Arabidopsis thaliana: one gene and its partners. The protein of the gene in region 2 interacts with the protein of the main gene of each other region in a pairwise test. Each region holds a gene or a part of one and is shown on either strand. Other genes may lie near its edges.

Evidence for each region.
Region 1: the proteins of MNP (region 2) and AGO10 interact in a two-hybrid assay, tested with the Arabidopsis thaliana proteins (one study listed by BioGRID).
Region 3: the proteins of MNP (region 2) and JAG interact in a two-hybrid assay, tested with the Arabidopsis thaliana proteins (one study listed by BioGRID).

Annotation. Positions count from the first base shown.
Region 1 is NC_003076.8:17,608,825-17,616,783, forward strand, and holds the start of AGO10 (Stabilizer of iron transporter SufD / Polynucleotidyl transferase), read left to right. Parts: upstream 1-1,919; 5' UTR 1,920-2,181; exon of another isoform or gene 2,182-2,537; intron 2,538-2,551; exon of another isoform or gene 2,552-2,758; intron 2,759-3,020; 5' UTR 3,021-3,114; coding exon 3,115-3,597; intron 3,598-3,791; coding exon 3,792-4,003; intron 4,004-4,082; coding exon 4,083-4,366; intron 4,367-4,453; coding exon 4,454-4,563; intron 4,564-4,652; coding exon 4,653-4,759; intron 4,760-4,837; coding exon 4,838-4,976; intron 4,977-5,061; coding exon 5,062-5,178; intron 5,179-5,267; coding exon 5,268-5,375; intron 5,376-5,456; coding exon 5,457-5,651; intron 5,652-5,754; coding exon 5,755-5,914; intron 5,915-6,000; coding exon 6,001-6,122; intron 6,123-6,205; coding exon 6,206-6,343; intron 6,344-6,421; coding exon 6,422-6,564; intron 6,565-6,643; coding exon 6,644-6,706; intron 6,707-6,788; coding exon 6,789-6,852; intron 6,853-6,942; coding exon 6,943-7,078; intron 7,079-7,165; coding exon 7,166-7,239; and 5 more. UniProt on the Arabidopsis thaliana protein: Involved in RNA-mediated post-transcriptional gene silencing (PTGS). Main component of the RNA-induced silencing complex (RISC) that binds to a short guide RNA such as a microRNA (miRNA) or small interfering RNA (siRNA).
Region 2 is NC_003074.8:18,909,254-18,913,229, forward strand, and holds MNP (GATA type zinc finger transcription factor family protein), read left to right. Parts: upstream 1-1,693; 5' UTR 1,694-1,858; coding exon 1,859-2,377; intron 2,378-2,747; coding exon 2,748-3,116; 3' UTR 3,117-3,355; downstream 3,356-3,976. UniProt on the Arabidopsis thaliana protein: Transcriptional factor that specifically binds 5'-GATA-3' or 5'-GAT-3' motifs within gene promoters (including its own promoter and GATA21 promoter), thus regulating the expression of genes mostly involved in hormone responses and floral organ specification (including genes regulating hormones responses).
Region 3 is NC_003070.9:25,683,744-25,688,251, reverse strand, and holds JAG (C2H2 and C2HC zinc fingers superfamily protein), read left to right. Parts: upstream 1-2,056; 5' UTR 2,057-2,319; coding exon 2,320-2,321; intron 2,322-2,383; exon of another isoform or gene 2,384-2,413; coding exon 2,414-2,508; intron 2,509-2,676; coding exon 2,677-2,805; intron 2,806-2,891; exon of another isoform or gene 2,892-3,011; coding exon of another isoform or gene 3,012-3,039; coding exon 3,040-3,124; intron 3,125-3,258; coding exon 3,259-3,709; 3' UTR 3,710-3,938; downstream 3,939-4,508. UniProt on the Arabidopsis thaliana protein: Controls the morphogenesis of lateral organs. Functions in lateral organ shape and is sufficient to induce proliferation and growth of lateral organ tissue.

The DNA of each region.
Region 1 (7,959 bases), on a different chromosome or scaffold from region 2:
TGTAAAGAACGTTACACTTTCTCCCATTTGCTGCCAAAAGATCTCTACCAACCGTTACATATCACACTCGAGTCAGTTGAACAAGTTTACTATAAAAATACATTCCTTGAACAAGATTTCTATAAAAAATACATTCCTTAATAGATTAACTTAAGCCATATAATTATAGGCCGGTGGTTTGCATATCTAATTATCAACTTCCTCGTACCAGAAGGAACCTTGTAGCTTATAGAGATATCATTGTATTCGAATTGATCATATTAAACTATTTTGATATTTACTTATTTTTCTAAAGAAACTAATTTTTGCTAAATTTATTCAATGACTAGTATTATGTTTTGAATAAACTTTGAACTGTATATTCTAACCTGAAAAATAAGTGGAATTCTACAGATCAATTACCAAAGTTTTGTCTTTGTTTTTGTGATATATCGAAGGTTTTAGAGCCAAGTTCGTAAAAAAAAAACAATGTCAAAAGTTAAAATAGCTCGAATGAATTTTGTTTCATGTAGGTTTTTTTTCTTATGATCGGACGTTTCATGTAGTCTCATGGAGTATGTTATAAACAAAAGAAAAAAAAAAATAGTGGAAGAAAACAAAATTAATGAGGTTGTAGTAGAGTCACGAAATGGGGTCTGCAGAAAGAAAAGAAAAGACTGCAAGTTCGAATTATTCCTTCTTCCGTGTGTGTAATTATCATTTGCTTTTATTATTTTAAAAAATATAAAACATTTACTATGTATTTTCTTACATGTAAACCATTTACTATTTTTCTCCACGAATATTTCTTATGTAAATTTATATAAATGTATGTATAAATACATACACTACGTTAGTGGTACTAAACGGACCACAAAGAAAGTGGCCATCAAGCTTAAGCAGCTGCAATAAGCTGACACATAAAGAAATCTGTCTATACATATCCAATAAAATCTAATTCAATAAATATGTACAAATGGTCACAAAAATAGTAAAGGGTGTAATCATGCAAAGTCGTGGTCTAGTCGTTTTCTCTATTAATTAAGCCCAATTTCGAAGTATACAATTAGGAGCAATTGGGAAAGTAGTACATTTTAATGATGATGCTAATTTGCAGTTGTAACACTTTATCACAAACTAGACAATCCACATTCACCGGCGGAAACTAACCTAGACTAGTTTCCAACATCAAAAGTCCAATTTTTGTTTCGTTTAAATAGATGGCGCAAACGTACAACTAAGATTAGATTTAAGTATTTAACTCTACAACTAGGTTGAGCCAAATGACGACAATGACAATGCCGACGACTGTTGATATACACAACTAACGTTTATCTGATTAGATGAGTTCGTGAACGGCTACACATCCATTAGCTTCTATTTAAACCATTTGTTATGAAACAATGTTTGACAACTCAAATGAAAAAGATGAACAATATTTCTATACCAAGTACCAAGTGAAACTTTTTGTGTTTACATCAGGTATGTAATCATTTTCCGTGTTCCTTTGTTAAAAACCGTCCATCCTTGATTCTTCTGATAATGGTAAAACTATCCGTTTGTTAAATTGTTTTATTGTATTTTTATCTATTGTAAAAAACTAATTAAATTTTAAATTTGCTATGCATAAACAATACTGTATATACATTTTTTATAATAAGATTAGAGAATTATAGTACCATCTTGTAACAATGATGTAATAAGAGACGAAAAAAAAATAACTAACTGATCATTACCATCCATAAATAAATAGTTGCTGCCATAAACCAAACACATTGTGCTTATCAAAAAGAAGAAATTTGTACTTAATGAAACATTCATTATTAGCAAAGTGTAAAACCAAAGAAAAACAAACTTTATTTCTCATTTTATTAGTAAAAGTGAAGAAGAGTAAAGAAAAAGAGAGACTGAGATGAGGCTGAGAGCCTGAGTCTGCGGGTGGAGAGAGAGAGAAAGAAAGCCTCTTTACACGTGATTTTTAAAAGAGACCAAAACCCCAAAAGCAAACCTCTTTTGCATGCGTCCTTAAAAGACATAAATTTCTCTCAAAATTTTCTACATCACAAAATCAATCTTTTTCTCTTCTTCTTCGTCTTCATCATCATCATCATCATCTTCCTCTTTCTCTTCCTACTGAGATATTTTCTCCACATTGAGAGGAAAGCTATCTTCTCTAGCGTCACTCTTCTTCTTCATTGGTCGGTGAGTGTTTTATTTTTTTTACTGTATTTCTTTTTAATATAGCGGACGGGTCATTTTCTCTCCGTAGCAATAAATTCACTTATATAAAATAAAATTTTCATTCTTCTTGGAGATATTGATATTTCCACTGCTCTTTTCGATGTTTATTCCTTCACTTTGTTCACTTGCTCTTAGTTTTTATCTTTCACTCTCTCTCTCTCACACCAAAGTTCACAGCAAAATAAAATTAAAATAAAAAAGCTTCGATTTTTCGATTAAAATCTTTGTAATTATCTGTTTGGGTTTTCTCCGGGATCTCATTTTCCGGTTTCAAATAGAGACAAAAGATTAAAGCTTTCTCCGGTTTTGTCTTCTGGGTATTCCCAATTTCCCCCATTTCACTTAAAGCTTTAATCTCTGTTCCTTGTTTTTGTCTGTGATTCTTCTTAATGAAAACAAAAACTGTAAAAATAAAAAAAAAACTTCTGGTGATTGGTTCCTTTTATTCTTGGTCTTTACAGTGTTTTCTTCTAATTTCATGGTTTCTTGTCTCTCTCTTTTTTATCGAGAAAAAAACTACATCTATCTCTGTAACACTGTATGTATATACTTCAGACTCTGTTTTAATCTCTGTTTTTTTTTACCTCTCTGGTTTCTGAAACTTTGTAATAGAAGAAACTAGAACAACAACATTTTTTACTTCACTGTTTCAAAGTTTTGATTTTTATTATTAAATTTAACCCAAAACACCATCATCATGGTTTTGTTTTCTGGATTTTCTCCATTTAATGCAATCTGACATTTTCTTATAATTATTTTTTGTTTGTACTTATTTTTCTTTCATCCTCATGATTTTGCAGGTAGAATAAGGCCAAGGAAGGGATCAGTTTTAAGTTTTGTTTCATTCTTTTTGTAGTGGAGAAAAAGAGTTTTTGAAAATCCAAACAACAAAAAATGCCGATTAGGCAAATGAAAGATAGCTCTGAGACTCACTTAGTTATCAAAACCCAACCTTTAAAGCACCACAATCCAAAAACCGTTCAAAACGGTAAAATCCCTCCTCCTTCTCCTTCTCCGGTGACGGTGACTACTCCGGCGACGGTTACTCAGAGTCAAGCTTCTTCACCTTCACCACCGTCAAAGAATCGTAGCCGGAGGAGAAACCGTGGTGGAAGAAAATCTGATCAAGGAGATGTTTGTATGAGACCTAGCTCTCGTCCTCGTAAACCGCCACCGCCAAGTCAAACCACTTCCTCCGCCGTCTCCGTCGCCACCGCCGGTGAGATTGTCGCTGTGAATCATCAGATGCAGATGGGTGTTCGTAAAAACTCAAACTTTGCTCCAAGACCTGGATTTGGAACACTTGGAACTAAATGCATTGTTAAAGCTAACCACTTTCTCGCTGATTTGCCTACCAAGGATTTGAATCAGTATGATGTAAGTTTTTATTAGAAAAAGTTAAGATTTTTTTTGCCTTTTTTTTAGTTTTTGCTGTAATGAGAAACAAAGCTTGAACCTTTAGATGGTTTCCTGAAAAAAGGTTTGAAATTTAATGAAGGAGAGAGAGTTAGATTTTAATGTTGTTCTTATTGCTTATTTGGGTCCATTGACATTTGGTTAATGTTTTGCAGGTTACAATTACTCCTGAAGTGTCATCAAAGAGTGTTAACAGAGCTATAATTGCTGAGTTAGTTAGACTTTACAAAGAGTCTGATCTCGGGAGGAGACTTCCGGCTTACGATGGCCGGAAAAGTCTTTACACTGCTGGAGAACTTCCTTTTACTTGGAAGGAGTTCAGTGTTAAGATTGTTGATGAAGATGACGGTATCATCAATGGCCCTAAGTAAGTGTCTAAGGTTCTTTAGGTGATTGATTTTGTTATGTGTAGTTTTATATTGAAATTGACACATTTTGCTTTGTAGAAGGGAGAGATCATATAAGGTGGCAATCAAGTTTGTTGCACGGGCAAATATGCATCACTTAGGCGAGTTTCTAGCTGGTAAACGGGCAGATTGTCCGCAAGAGGCGGTGCAGATTCTTGATATTGTACTCAGGGAGTTGTCGGTTAAGAGGTTTTGTCCCGTTGGAAGATCTTTCTTTTCGCCTGATATTAAAACACCGCAGCGACTCGGTGAAGGGTTAGAGTCATGGTGTGGGTTTTACCAGAGTATTAGACCAACTCAAATGGGTTTATCACTAAATATCGGTAAAGATTTGACTTAAGAGATTGTTACAGTTTTGGTTTTATTTTATAAGTCAGCCCAATCTTAATGTTATTCTCCTTACTTTGTAGATATGGCTTCAGCTGCATTCATCGAGCCTCTTCCAGTGATAGAGTTTGTAGCACAGCTTCTTGGAAAGGATGTCTTGTCGAAGCCATTGTCGGATTCTGATCGCGTCAAGGTACACAAGTCTCTTCATCTTATTATATCTTGTCTCAAGTCCTTGATTGTTTCCTCAAGAATGTTTTTTTTCTTGGGAATTTTTAACAGATTAAGAAGGGTCTTAGAGGAGTGAAAGTAGAGGTTACTCACAGAGCGAATGTAAGAAGGAAATACCGTGTTGCGGGTTTAACAACTCAACCAACAAGAGAGCTAATGTGAGTATTTTCTTTTTACTTACTCTTTGATTACTAAGGCTTGTTTCATTGAGATTAATTTCTGGTTTATATTCTTAGGTTTCCAGTAGATGAGAACTGTACTATGAAGTCAGTTATTGAGTATTTCCAAGAGATGTATGGATTCACGATCCAGCACACGCATTTGCCATGTCTCCAAGTTGGAAACCAAAAGAAGGCAAGCTATTTGCCGATGGAGGTAAACCGTAAACTGCTGGTTTGTTTGTTTCAAGACTTCACATTTCAGCTCTTGGCTATTTTCGCTGATTCAATTTCCAATGTAGGCATGCAAAATTGTCGAGGGACAACGGTACACGAAAAGGTTGAATGAGAAGCAGATTACTGCTCTCTTGAAAGTTACATGCCAAAGGCCGAGGGACAGAGAAAACGATATTTTGCGGGTATTTTTTTAGTCATGTATCTTATATGGTTCTTTGTGAGTTAGAACTTAGAAGTGAGGATTAATCTTGTTGTCAAAAATGTTTTATAGACTGTCCAACACAACGCATATGATCAAGATCCATATGCAAAGGAGTTTGGCATGAACATAAGCGAAAAGTTAGCTTCTGTTGAAGCTCGTATTCTTCCAGCTCCATGGGTAAAAAACCTAAACAGATCTCTGAATGCTCATACTATGAGAATACTGTTATGTTAATTCGTCTCTCTTTGCTTGCTACAGCTTAAGTATCACGAGAACGGGAAAGAAAAAGATTGTCTCCCGCAAGTTGGTCAGTGGAATATGATGAACAAGAAAATGATCAACGGGATGACTGTGAGCAGATGGGCCTGTGTTAACTTCTCACGCAGCGTTCAAGAAAACGTTGCTCGTGGATTTTGTAATGAACTTGGTCAGATGTGTGAAGTCTCAGGCATGGTAATAATATTCATCTTTTTTTCTTTTCTTGTTGCATTGTTTGAATTCTCTTTTAACTCGATGTGATTCTTATCAGAAAGCTTTGCTTCGTTTATCATTGTAGGAGTTTAATCCAGAACCCGTGATACCAATATATAGTGCGAGGCCCGATCAAGTCGAGAAAGCTCTAAAGCATGTTTATCACACTTCAATGAACAAAACCAAAGGCAAAGAGTTAGAGCTTCTGCTGGCAATATTACCTGATAACAACGGTTCACTTTATGGTATTATTTCGACATCCATAAACTTAACCCTTTTGCCTTCTTTAGTAATGGTTTTGATGAAAACGAAATGTTTCTTGTAATCTCAGGTGATCTTAAGAGAATCTGTGAAACCGAGCTTGGTTTGATATCTCAATGTTGTCTCACAAAACATGTGTTCAAGATTAGCAAACAGTATCTGGCAAATGTATCCCTTAAAATCAACGTAAAGGTGAATAGTTTTTACTGCTGTATCGAAGATTTTCGATTGTTTTTAGTATTATGAATCTCAGATCTTTCTATGTTTGGTTTCAGATGGGAGGAAGGAACACAGTTCTAGTAGACGCCATAAGCTGTAGAATACCACTGGTTAGCGATATACCGACAATCATTTTTGGCGCAGACGTGACTCACCCAGAGAACGGGGAAGAGTCAAGCCCTTCAATCGCTGCTGTAAGGATTATACACTTTTATCAAGTAGTGGAGCATCGAAATTCATTATACTCAGTTTTTTTCTTTTGTTTTCTTTAGGTTGTTGCTTCTCAAGACTGGCCTGAAGTGACAAAATATGCGGGTTTAGTTTGTGCTCAAGCTCACAGGCAAGAACTTATACAAGATTTGTATAAAACATGGCAAGATCCTGTTCGCGGTACTGTTAGTGGCGGTATGATCAGGTAATAACTCGCAATATTTCGGTTTTTGTAGTTTGATTTTATCGGTGTATCTCAAGGTTTTTTTGCTTGCTTTCTACAGGGACCTTCTTATCTCATTTAGAAAAGCAACAGGGCAAAAACCGCTTCGAATTATCTTTTATCGGTAAGTCTCTCTTTGCTCATTTAAGTAAAAGAATTATATCTAAAACCCACAATTAGTTCTCATGGTTGTTTTATTCGCGCAGTGATGGAGTAAGCGAAGGGCAATTCTATCAAGTTTTACTCTATGAGTTGGATGCAATTCGAAAGGTAAAAACTTTTGTGCATAGCATGAAATGAATCCGCCACAAAGTTAGCAAAACATTTTACATAATCGGAAACGGGTTTGTGTTTGTTTAGGCTTGTGCATCGCTTGAACCGAATTATCAGCCACCGGTGACATTCATAGTTGTACAGAAGCGTCACCACACTCGTTTGTTTGCTAATAATCACCGAGACAAAAACAGTACTGACCGAAGCGGAAATATCTTACCAGGTTAGTTATTAAAAACGGTTGAAAGAAGATCATAACAGAAATAATTAACTAACTAACTAACTGCTTCTTTGCCACCTTTTGTTTCAGGTACTGTAGTTGACACTAAAATATGTCATCCAACTGAATTCGACTTCTACCTTTGTAGCCATGCGGGTATTCAGGTACGAAACAACTATCGAAATATCCGTTAATATGACCTTTTCCGTAACTATACAGATAAAATGACACTGTTTGTGTTTGTTGTATGATCTAGGGAACAAGCAGGCCTGCACATTACCATGTTCTTTGGGACGAGAACAATTTCACAGCAGATGGTATTCAATCTCTGACTAACAATCTCTGTTATACCTATGCGCGGTGCACTCGGTCGGTCTCTATAGGTAAATAACAACATTTCTTCTTCTTCTTCGTGTACCCGCAAATATGACGAAAATCAGCAAACTCATATGTTCTTTTATTTTCTGATGTTGTACAGTTCCTCCAGCGTATTATGCTCATCTTGCAGCATTTCGAGCACGTTTCTACCTGGAACCGGAGATAATGCAAGACAACGGATCACCGGGTAAAAAGAACACGAAAACAACAACTGTCGGAGACGTAGGTGTGAAGCCTTTACCAGCCTTGAAGGAGAATGTGAAGAGAGTAATGTTCTACTGCTAAAAATCCAAACATTCCTTAATCAGTTTTAATAAGTAGTTTGGTTGTTTGCTTGTAGTTCGGCTTTAGATTTACCAATGTTTTTCTTATGTAAATTTTGTCGGTTTGGTTTAAGCCTTTAGGAATTAGTGTATTAGGGTTTTTCTAAAGTTGTACTTTAGCTGATGATAACGTTGATGCAGTGACTTTGTTAAAACCTCCTCTTCTACAGTAGTGTTTACGTC
Region 2 (3,976 bases):
ATAGAAAAACAAGACATTATCTACAACTACAAGATATCAAAGCACTCGGTTAACCGCGTCCCTGTGAAGTGTTAGTTATCAGTACATGAATTGTGATTTCAGCATCTTGGTCCTTTTTTTTTTGGACAACCGTCATCTTTTTCTTGATCGGTTTTTATAACGTACAAACATATACTATTTCAACAGTTTTCTTTTAATTTTTTTTTTTTTTGAATATACACTTTCTTTCTTTTATTTGTTTGATTACAAAATTTTCAAAAAATAGTGTTCGGCAAAAAAAAAAATTAGATCGGCCAATGCATTATATCCCCTAGCGTAAGCTCTTTTTCAACCAATCGAGAGTCCATGTTTTCAATAAAAATAGGGTTTTATTAGTAACAGTAGTTAAAGCATTTAACATACGTAATCCCAAAAAAATAAAATAATTCTGTATAGGGACGAAGACTAGTATTCGTTGACGACAAGAGTAGAGTAGACTCTAGCTAGCTGCAAGTTTTGAAGAAATCTAATAACCAAATCTAAGTCATTTTACTTACATCATCATGGATCATCATTAACCACATGAGGCTGAGCAGATATCGAACGTGTGATTGCGATGTGGAGAAGTAAAGGACGAGGCCACGCGCAACTGAGCAGGAGCGCGTGAGATTCAGGGTTTTAGGGCAGAGATACGGAAAGAGACAGAGGTTTTATAGCATTATATTGAAAGAGAACAAATAAAAATAAAAATATGAGCCTCGTGATCGGAGATTTTTGCAGTGATGACTGTACTCTTCTTCCTCTTCTCTCCCCCTTGTCACGTGGGCTAAATTTTGACCACCCTTCTTCAATGACCATCAACATCGCATCACACTCTCTCCTTCTTCTTCTTCTACGTTTTTTATTTTCTGTTAAATTTCCTCCACAAAATCGATAATTTCAATTTTTTCATACAATATCATAGTTCTAGTAAAGTAAACATTCGTGTGTGAGTGACATAATAATTGCTTCAAAAAGAAATAACGAATTAATAAGAGTTGTGTGCTTGATGGTCCAAAAGTCGTATGTTTTTCACCATCACAATAAGATTTACCATATCTACTTAAACCAAACTTCAATCTATGATATTTGGAAGCTAGCAATGAATGATTTTGTTTTAGCATATGTTACCGAGCCTATTCATCTTTAGATTGAAAGTTTTGTGTCCAACAACTAGCAAACCCTTCGCTTTTTAAACCAAGATCAGTTTTTCTACATAGTTTCGACTTTTTGTTATTTTACTTCCCATCATATTTTGTTTTATTTACTACTGACATTTTCATAATGTACGGTACATTTTCATATATTAGCATCCTTATCTAAAAGCTAATCAACTCCATAACGTACTTGAAATAGGGATATTTTAGTTGAATTATTCAAAACAATCACACAGTGACACAGACTCTATGTAGACCAAGCATGTGTTATGTAATTAGAAAAAATAAACTGTGATTAAAATATCTTTTAACTTGTTAACTTGGCTGCCTAAAGAAACTTGATACTGTATCATCGTTCATCGTATTTTGTAATTAATAAAACATAAAAAAGCAAGGAAAACCCATTTGAGTAAATGATATATTAATATTACTTCGTAAAAAGCTGCGTCCCCACATATTCTATTGATTTTAAATACTATTCGTATTAATATAAACCTGCATATAAGCGTACATATACATTTCTGATTCTATATATAGGTGTGAGACCTTCTTCTCCATTCTACACTTCACTCCAACGTGAAACCTGCAAACTGAACTTATCTCTTCATATTTTCTTTAGCTTCTCTTAATTTTACACTTAGGGTTTTCAAACCAGTAGAGAGAGAGAGAAGTGTGTAAGAGCGATGATGCAGACTCCGTACACTACTTCAACGCAGGGGCAATATTGTCATTCTTGTGGAATGTTCCACCACCATAGCCAAAGCTGCTGCTACAACAACAACAACAACTCCAACGCCGGTTCTTACTCGATGGTCTTCTCCATGCAAAACGGTGGCGTTTTCGAGCAGAACGGTGAGGACTATCATCACTCTTCCTCCCTCGTTGACTGCACTCTCTCTCTTGGAACTCCTTCTACGAGGCTTTGTGAGGAAGATGAGAAACGTAGACGCTCTACTTCATCTGGTGCTTCTTCTTGCATCTCCAACTTTTGGGACTTGATTCACACCAAAAACAACAACTCCAAAACGGCACCGTACAATAACGTTCCTTCTTTCTCCGCTAACAAGCCAAGTCGCGGTTGTTCCGGTGGTGGTGGTGGCGGAGGAGGCGGTGGCGGAGGTGACTCTCTTCTCGCTAGACGCTGTGCCAACTGTGACACTACTTCTACTCCACTATGGAGGAATGGTCCTAGAGGCCCTAAGGTGACTTATTTATTTTAATTTTTATTAAAATGCAACTTCTTTTAATCAACACATGAAATGAAGATTTACAATAACCAAAAAGACAGTTCATCCCTTTGTTTTGAATATTTGCCTATCTGTTTTTTCACTAAAACCAATAAATCCCTTTCTCTATAGTTTAATTTATTGAAAGAAACATTAAATAATGATTTTGATGGTTCAGTAAATTTACTTGAATATAAGTTTTAAAACAGATATTTCAATAAAAGACATTAATTTATTTTCTTTTCGAATATTTTCATCACTATATAGAGATTTATGTATTGAACGAACATTAAATATAAGATATATTGATGGCTAATGATGATATGGATGGTTTTGGAATTTGCAGTCCCTATGCAACGCATGCGGCATTCGTTTCAAGAAGGAAGAGAGAAGAACTACTGCGGCTACAGGAAACACCGTCGTCGGAGCTGCACCGGTTCAAACCGACCAGTACGGGCATCACAACTCTGGCTACAATAATTACCATGCTGCCACTAATAACAACAATAATAATGGTACTCCGTGGGCTCATCACCACTCGACGCAGAGGGTTCCGTGTAATTATCCGGCAAATGAGATCAGGTTCATGGATGATTACGGCAGTGGAGTAGCAAACAACGTTGAATCCGACGGTGCTCACGGCGGTGTTCCGTTCCTTTCTTGGAGGCTTAATGTAGCGGATAGGGCAAGTCTTGTCCATGACTTTACCAGATGAAAGGAGAATAGAAAACGACGTTAGATTCTCTTAAAATTTCCATGTGGTTTAATTATGTCTAATTAAAAAAAAACCAAGAAAATATTTCTGAAAAAAATAGAAGTGTATATCGAGAGACGATGTTGATGTTTATTGATAGTGACGGTCTAACTTATGGTTTATCTATAAAGTACCGTTCTGGTCAATTTTTAAAATCATTTTCTAATATTTATTTTAAAAATATAACCTTCTTTTTATGGAAATCTTCTCTTCTCTAGTCTATAAAATAAACACTATAGTTAGATTCTTCTATTGATTACACAGTGATCGTCATAAAACATTACAGATGTAATCAAAACATTAGAAAGAAAAACAAAAAATGAAAGATGTGCATAAGAGAAAACACACAGACCAAAAATATAGACATAGGATATAACTCTTTTAATGTATATAGTTTAGAGTTGAACGGAGAAGTTTCAGTTCCACCTGAGTCCCTGAATTTCACAACTGAGACTTTAATAATAATAATATTCTTACTATTGGTTAATAAAAAATAGAGAAAATAAAATAAAAATTAGGGTGTTTGGTAGTGAAGATTGAAATCTGATCGTCGAATTGGGGAGAGATTAGATTCTGATCGTACCAATGTGGGTTTTGGTACTGTTGTGTTTTCAGTTTTGGATCAGAGAGCATTGTAGTGATTTAATGAACATATATTTGTCGTATTATGCTCTGCTTCTTCCTCCTTTATATTTTGACCGTCGTTTTGTCCTTTACTCACTCCTCTCTTCTTGACCTTTTGTTCGTGTCAATATGTGCTCTCAAGAATATTGTTTTTCTTCCTTTTTAATTACTTACTTTTTCCGATTTTTTATTACTGA
Region 3 (4,508 bases), on a different chromosome or scaffold from region 2:
TTGATCATGTCAAAATTATTTATATACGAATATCAACTTATATATGTCTATTTTATACACAAATATTTCGCTTACAATTTACATTAATAGTTTAATACTAACTCATTAACATCTTACCAAAAAAGAAAAATTAATTAAAGAATTTGTTTTATTGATTTCTCTTATTATTTTTATTTTTGGTAAAATGATTTCGCTTATACTTACTTACAAGTATTTTCTGAAAAATTTTTGTTGAGAATTTTTATTCCAAATTATGAAAAAGCATACAAAAATGATAAGAGAACTATAAACGATGGTGTGCAATTTAATTGGCGAGATTGTAAAATATTGGTCTTAGTGTATTTACAATTATCCACATGCAAAATTCTTATTATGGTTACATATCTTATGATTATTACAAAATTAAGAATATCTAAGTCTAACTAATGACCAAAAAACACGACAAAGAAAAGATGTTCCTAGCTAGTGTCGACTATGATTGGGCTTTGGCTTTGCATTTGTGTTGATTTGATGAACTCGAAATTATCAATCTCCGTCTCGTCACCATTCATACTCTGCTTATCATATAAACATGACGCCGTGAAATAACGGTGTTGGGCTTGACTTTTTAAACAAATACTATTCCTTTTTATCTTGTAGGTCGGCACGAGCATACTTTTTTTTTTCTTTGAGTTTTGAAGTTTTGACCTTGAAGCCACTTGACACGTGATTCGCACGCTTCCGTGAGAGTGAATTGTGAAATGTAAATAATCTCACAGTATCTACTTAAGAGACACTAATCTATCTCATTCTTTTATGGATGAGGATAGTGTTATAGATCTTACGTTAGTTCTGCAAACATGTCTACAGTATAAATAGCATGTGGTATGGAGGGAACTTGATAGCATTATAATGTTTTACTTTTGATTGAATTACATTGTTTTGGATTATTTACAAGTTACAACTAGATTATATTAACCATGTAATAATGAATAAAAACAAGTAATGTGAAGGTAGGGATAATACACGACATGCATATCTAACTTAAGATCACAAAGGACCCTAATAATTAGTTATGTGATAGCAACACTTGCATGACCCATTTGCAAAACCCTAGGGTACAAAAAACAATTTTGAAAGAAATTTGTTTTTGATGTGGATGCCCCAGGAGAGGCCTAGCAATAGCATAACATTACATCTACATATGGGGGACCATTACTAGCTAACTATTTTCTTACATTTATATACAAATATTTATTGTAAAACTTCTCAAAACGTAATGTTCAAAGCAGCAGGACCATAGAACTAGCAATGTCTCGGATTGTCCTTAAAAGTATAAAATCTATTCTCTTTTAGTTACTTGGTTCTTTCCTCTGAGTGTTTAAGTGAGGATCACAAGTTCATCAAGGACCATCTTGGAGCTGCAAACTATTCATGAAAGATTCTTTATCAAGAGACAATGATTCGCTAGATGTGTCTTTCCACATTTAATTCATTGTTGATAAAGTACTACTCTTGTTTCTTTTAAGTCGCCTTATATTAATCAAACCTAACTAAAATACAACGTTTAGCATATTCTTTCAAGTTTCTGTATCAAGTGCAGCTTACACTTAACGTTTCCTTCTATTATGTGTGAAATTTTGAGGTTGATTTCATGAGAACAACCCATAACTTTTCTTTTATTCATGTATCCCCTAAAAGTCTACAATAACAGTCATTTCTTCAAAACTGGGAATTTGTTTTTACTATCTACAGTTTGATTTTTTAACTAGTTGAAAGGAATTTTTTTTACTATTTCTTTTTCCTATGATATGTATCTCACAACTAAAAGATCCAAAACTCATTGATTTTTTTTGAGAAAAAGAGTTCTTAAAATATTAAGGGTTTGTCTTTTTTAACATGAATTAATTGCACAGTAATAGGGTTCTAGGGTAGTAGCCCTAGCATCTCCTTTCACTCAGGAAATGTCCCTCTCATCTCTCTCTTTCATCACACACACACATACATGCACACACACACAAACACTTTCTCTCTGGTTTAATTAAACCCCCTTAAGCCCACATGACCACCTCTTTCTTTTTAAGGTCACAAGACCCACTTTGCTAATTTAGTTTCCACACGCAGAGAGAGAAACAAAGAGAGAGATGGGAGGGAGGGTTTGTGGCAGATAAACTGATAGAAAACTTTCGAACCTCTCTTCTTTAACTTTTACTACTCTCTATTCGTTTTTCTCTTCCTTTTGTGGTGCCGCCTCCAACTGAAAGTCTTCTAATATATATTCTCAATTATTCTAGCTCTCCGGGAGAAGTCTTATCTCACGCCAATCTCTCATTTCCCACTATGTATATGTCCCACAAGATCGCTTTCTTAGTTCTATCTTCTATTAATTTCCTAATCTTTAAATTCACACTTTCTTTTTTGAAATTTCTGGCAGGAGGCATGAGGAGAATTACTTAGACCTCAACAATCTTCCAGATGATTTTTCTAAAGATGGCAATAAGCAAGCCCTCGAGGAAGGTTCTTCCTCTGGTATGCATACCATGAAAAACCCTAATTCTTTATATATATATATATATATATATATATTTTAATTTAAATATATTCTTTTAACTTTATATATATGAAACATGGAGGTATATAGTTATTAGTGTGTGTATTGTTAATGTGAAGGTTTATTTGGTGTTGGTAATTAATTAGGTCAAAGAAAGAAGAAAGGGAGTAAAGAAGGGAAAGATGAGAGTGGGAAAGTGTACGAATGTCGATTTTGTTCACTCAAGTTCTGCAAATCCCAAGCTCTTGGTGGCCACATGAATCGCCACCGACAAGGTATGTCCATTTATATACACTCTTCTTCAACCTCTTTTAACTTTCATATAATCATATTCACACTTTTTAGTTCGTCCAAATAAACCCAAATTTTCTATATAACTCTTTGTCTTTGATAAATGATTGATGTCACATCCATGCTTTGACTACAACTAAGTACCAGTAGATAGATGTAACTAATTGCATTTAAGACTAAAATTAGTTTGATGTCCTTTTGGTTCTATAAACCTAAAGAGAGGGAGACCGAGACATTGAATCAAGCTCGTCAATTGGTCTACCGTAACGATACCATAACCCCACCTGGAATTTCTCCTTTCGGGTACTCTCTCTTCCAAAAAAATTTCAAAATTATATAATATGTTACTCAATGTACTTATTATCATCATTTTTTTATGTAATTATGTGAGTTATTATCATATGAATGAGGTGAATCATAATTGTAATTATTTGCAGCTATCATCATACCACAGATCCAACAATATACCGGTCGGTTTACTCATCACCAATGATATATCCTGGAAGCTCTTCAACGAACTTGGTTCCGCAACCGCCGATGCCACCACCACCGCCTCCATATCCATACTCTTCAAACCAATACTCTCCTCACAACCACTTCAACGACTACTACTTAAACCCATCTTTTAGAGGCAGCAGAAGCATCTCTCCAAGTCCTAACCTCCCCACCACCACCACCGTTGATTACATGGCCGATAGTCCCGTGGAACCGGGCTACACTTGTGTTGGTGCACCCATTGGTCCGACCGGTTTCCCTATCCGTGGCCCAAGCATCGTCCGTGCGCCGCTTGAACCACCACAAGGTCGTGATGGTGACGCTTCACGACAGCGTTTGGATCACTCTCTTAGGTTCCCCATCAATCGGTTTCAAGATCATCACTCGCTCTGAGTTTTAATAGATTCTCTACGCTTTTCTTTTCTTTTCTTTTTTTGTTTTTTTTTGGGTATTTTCTTGTCCTCTTGTTTTGTAACTTTGTTGGTTCTATCTAAAAGTAGAGATCTAGAATTGTCTAAACGCCAAGATCCTACATGTGTTATTATCATAATGACATGTTTGTTGGTTTTTATTGGTCTAGTCGAATACTCTAATTATTCACAACCGGATTTTGTTTTATGTCTATTATTGATATATCATATATCTACCATTATGATTTGTGTTGTGCTTGATTTTAGTGCGGAATAAATACAAAAATATAAAAATTATCGTACTGAATCGCTGATGCCAAATGATGTTAAATCAATTCATTTAAGAGAAAAGTTAACATAGTTATAGAAGATGAGAGGGACCATCATGGATGTGTACTATTGGATATAAATTAAAAGGTAAACGTTTAACAAAGTTTCCATTTATGGATACACAATGGAAGTGATTACTATAAGCAAAAAATAAAGCTTTTGCAATATATATATTATTAGAGAACAACGAGAGGACAGAGAGGAACCGGACAAATTAATTGGTCAGAGAGAGAGAGAGAAAGAGATTGTCTTGATAATATATGATACAATGTGTAGTGAGATTGGAACAGCCTTTATCTGAGCTCATCTAGAACTCTCAGCTACTTTGGCTTGAAGCTAGCTATGAGGATTGGGGATTGGAGGGAATTGGTTTATGGGATTTGGTGTTGGTTGTTCAAAATCAAAATTAAAAAGGACATTTTATAACATATAAAGTGTAAGAAAGAAGTAAC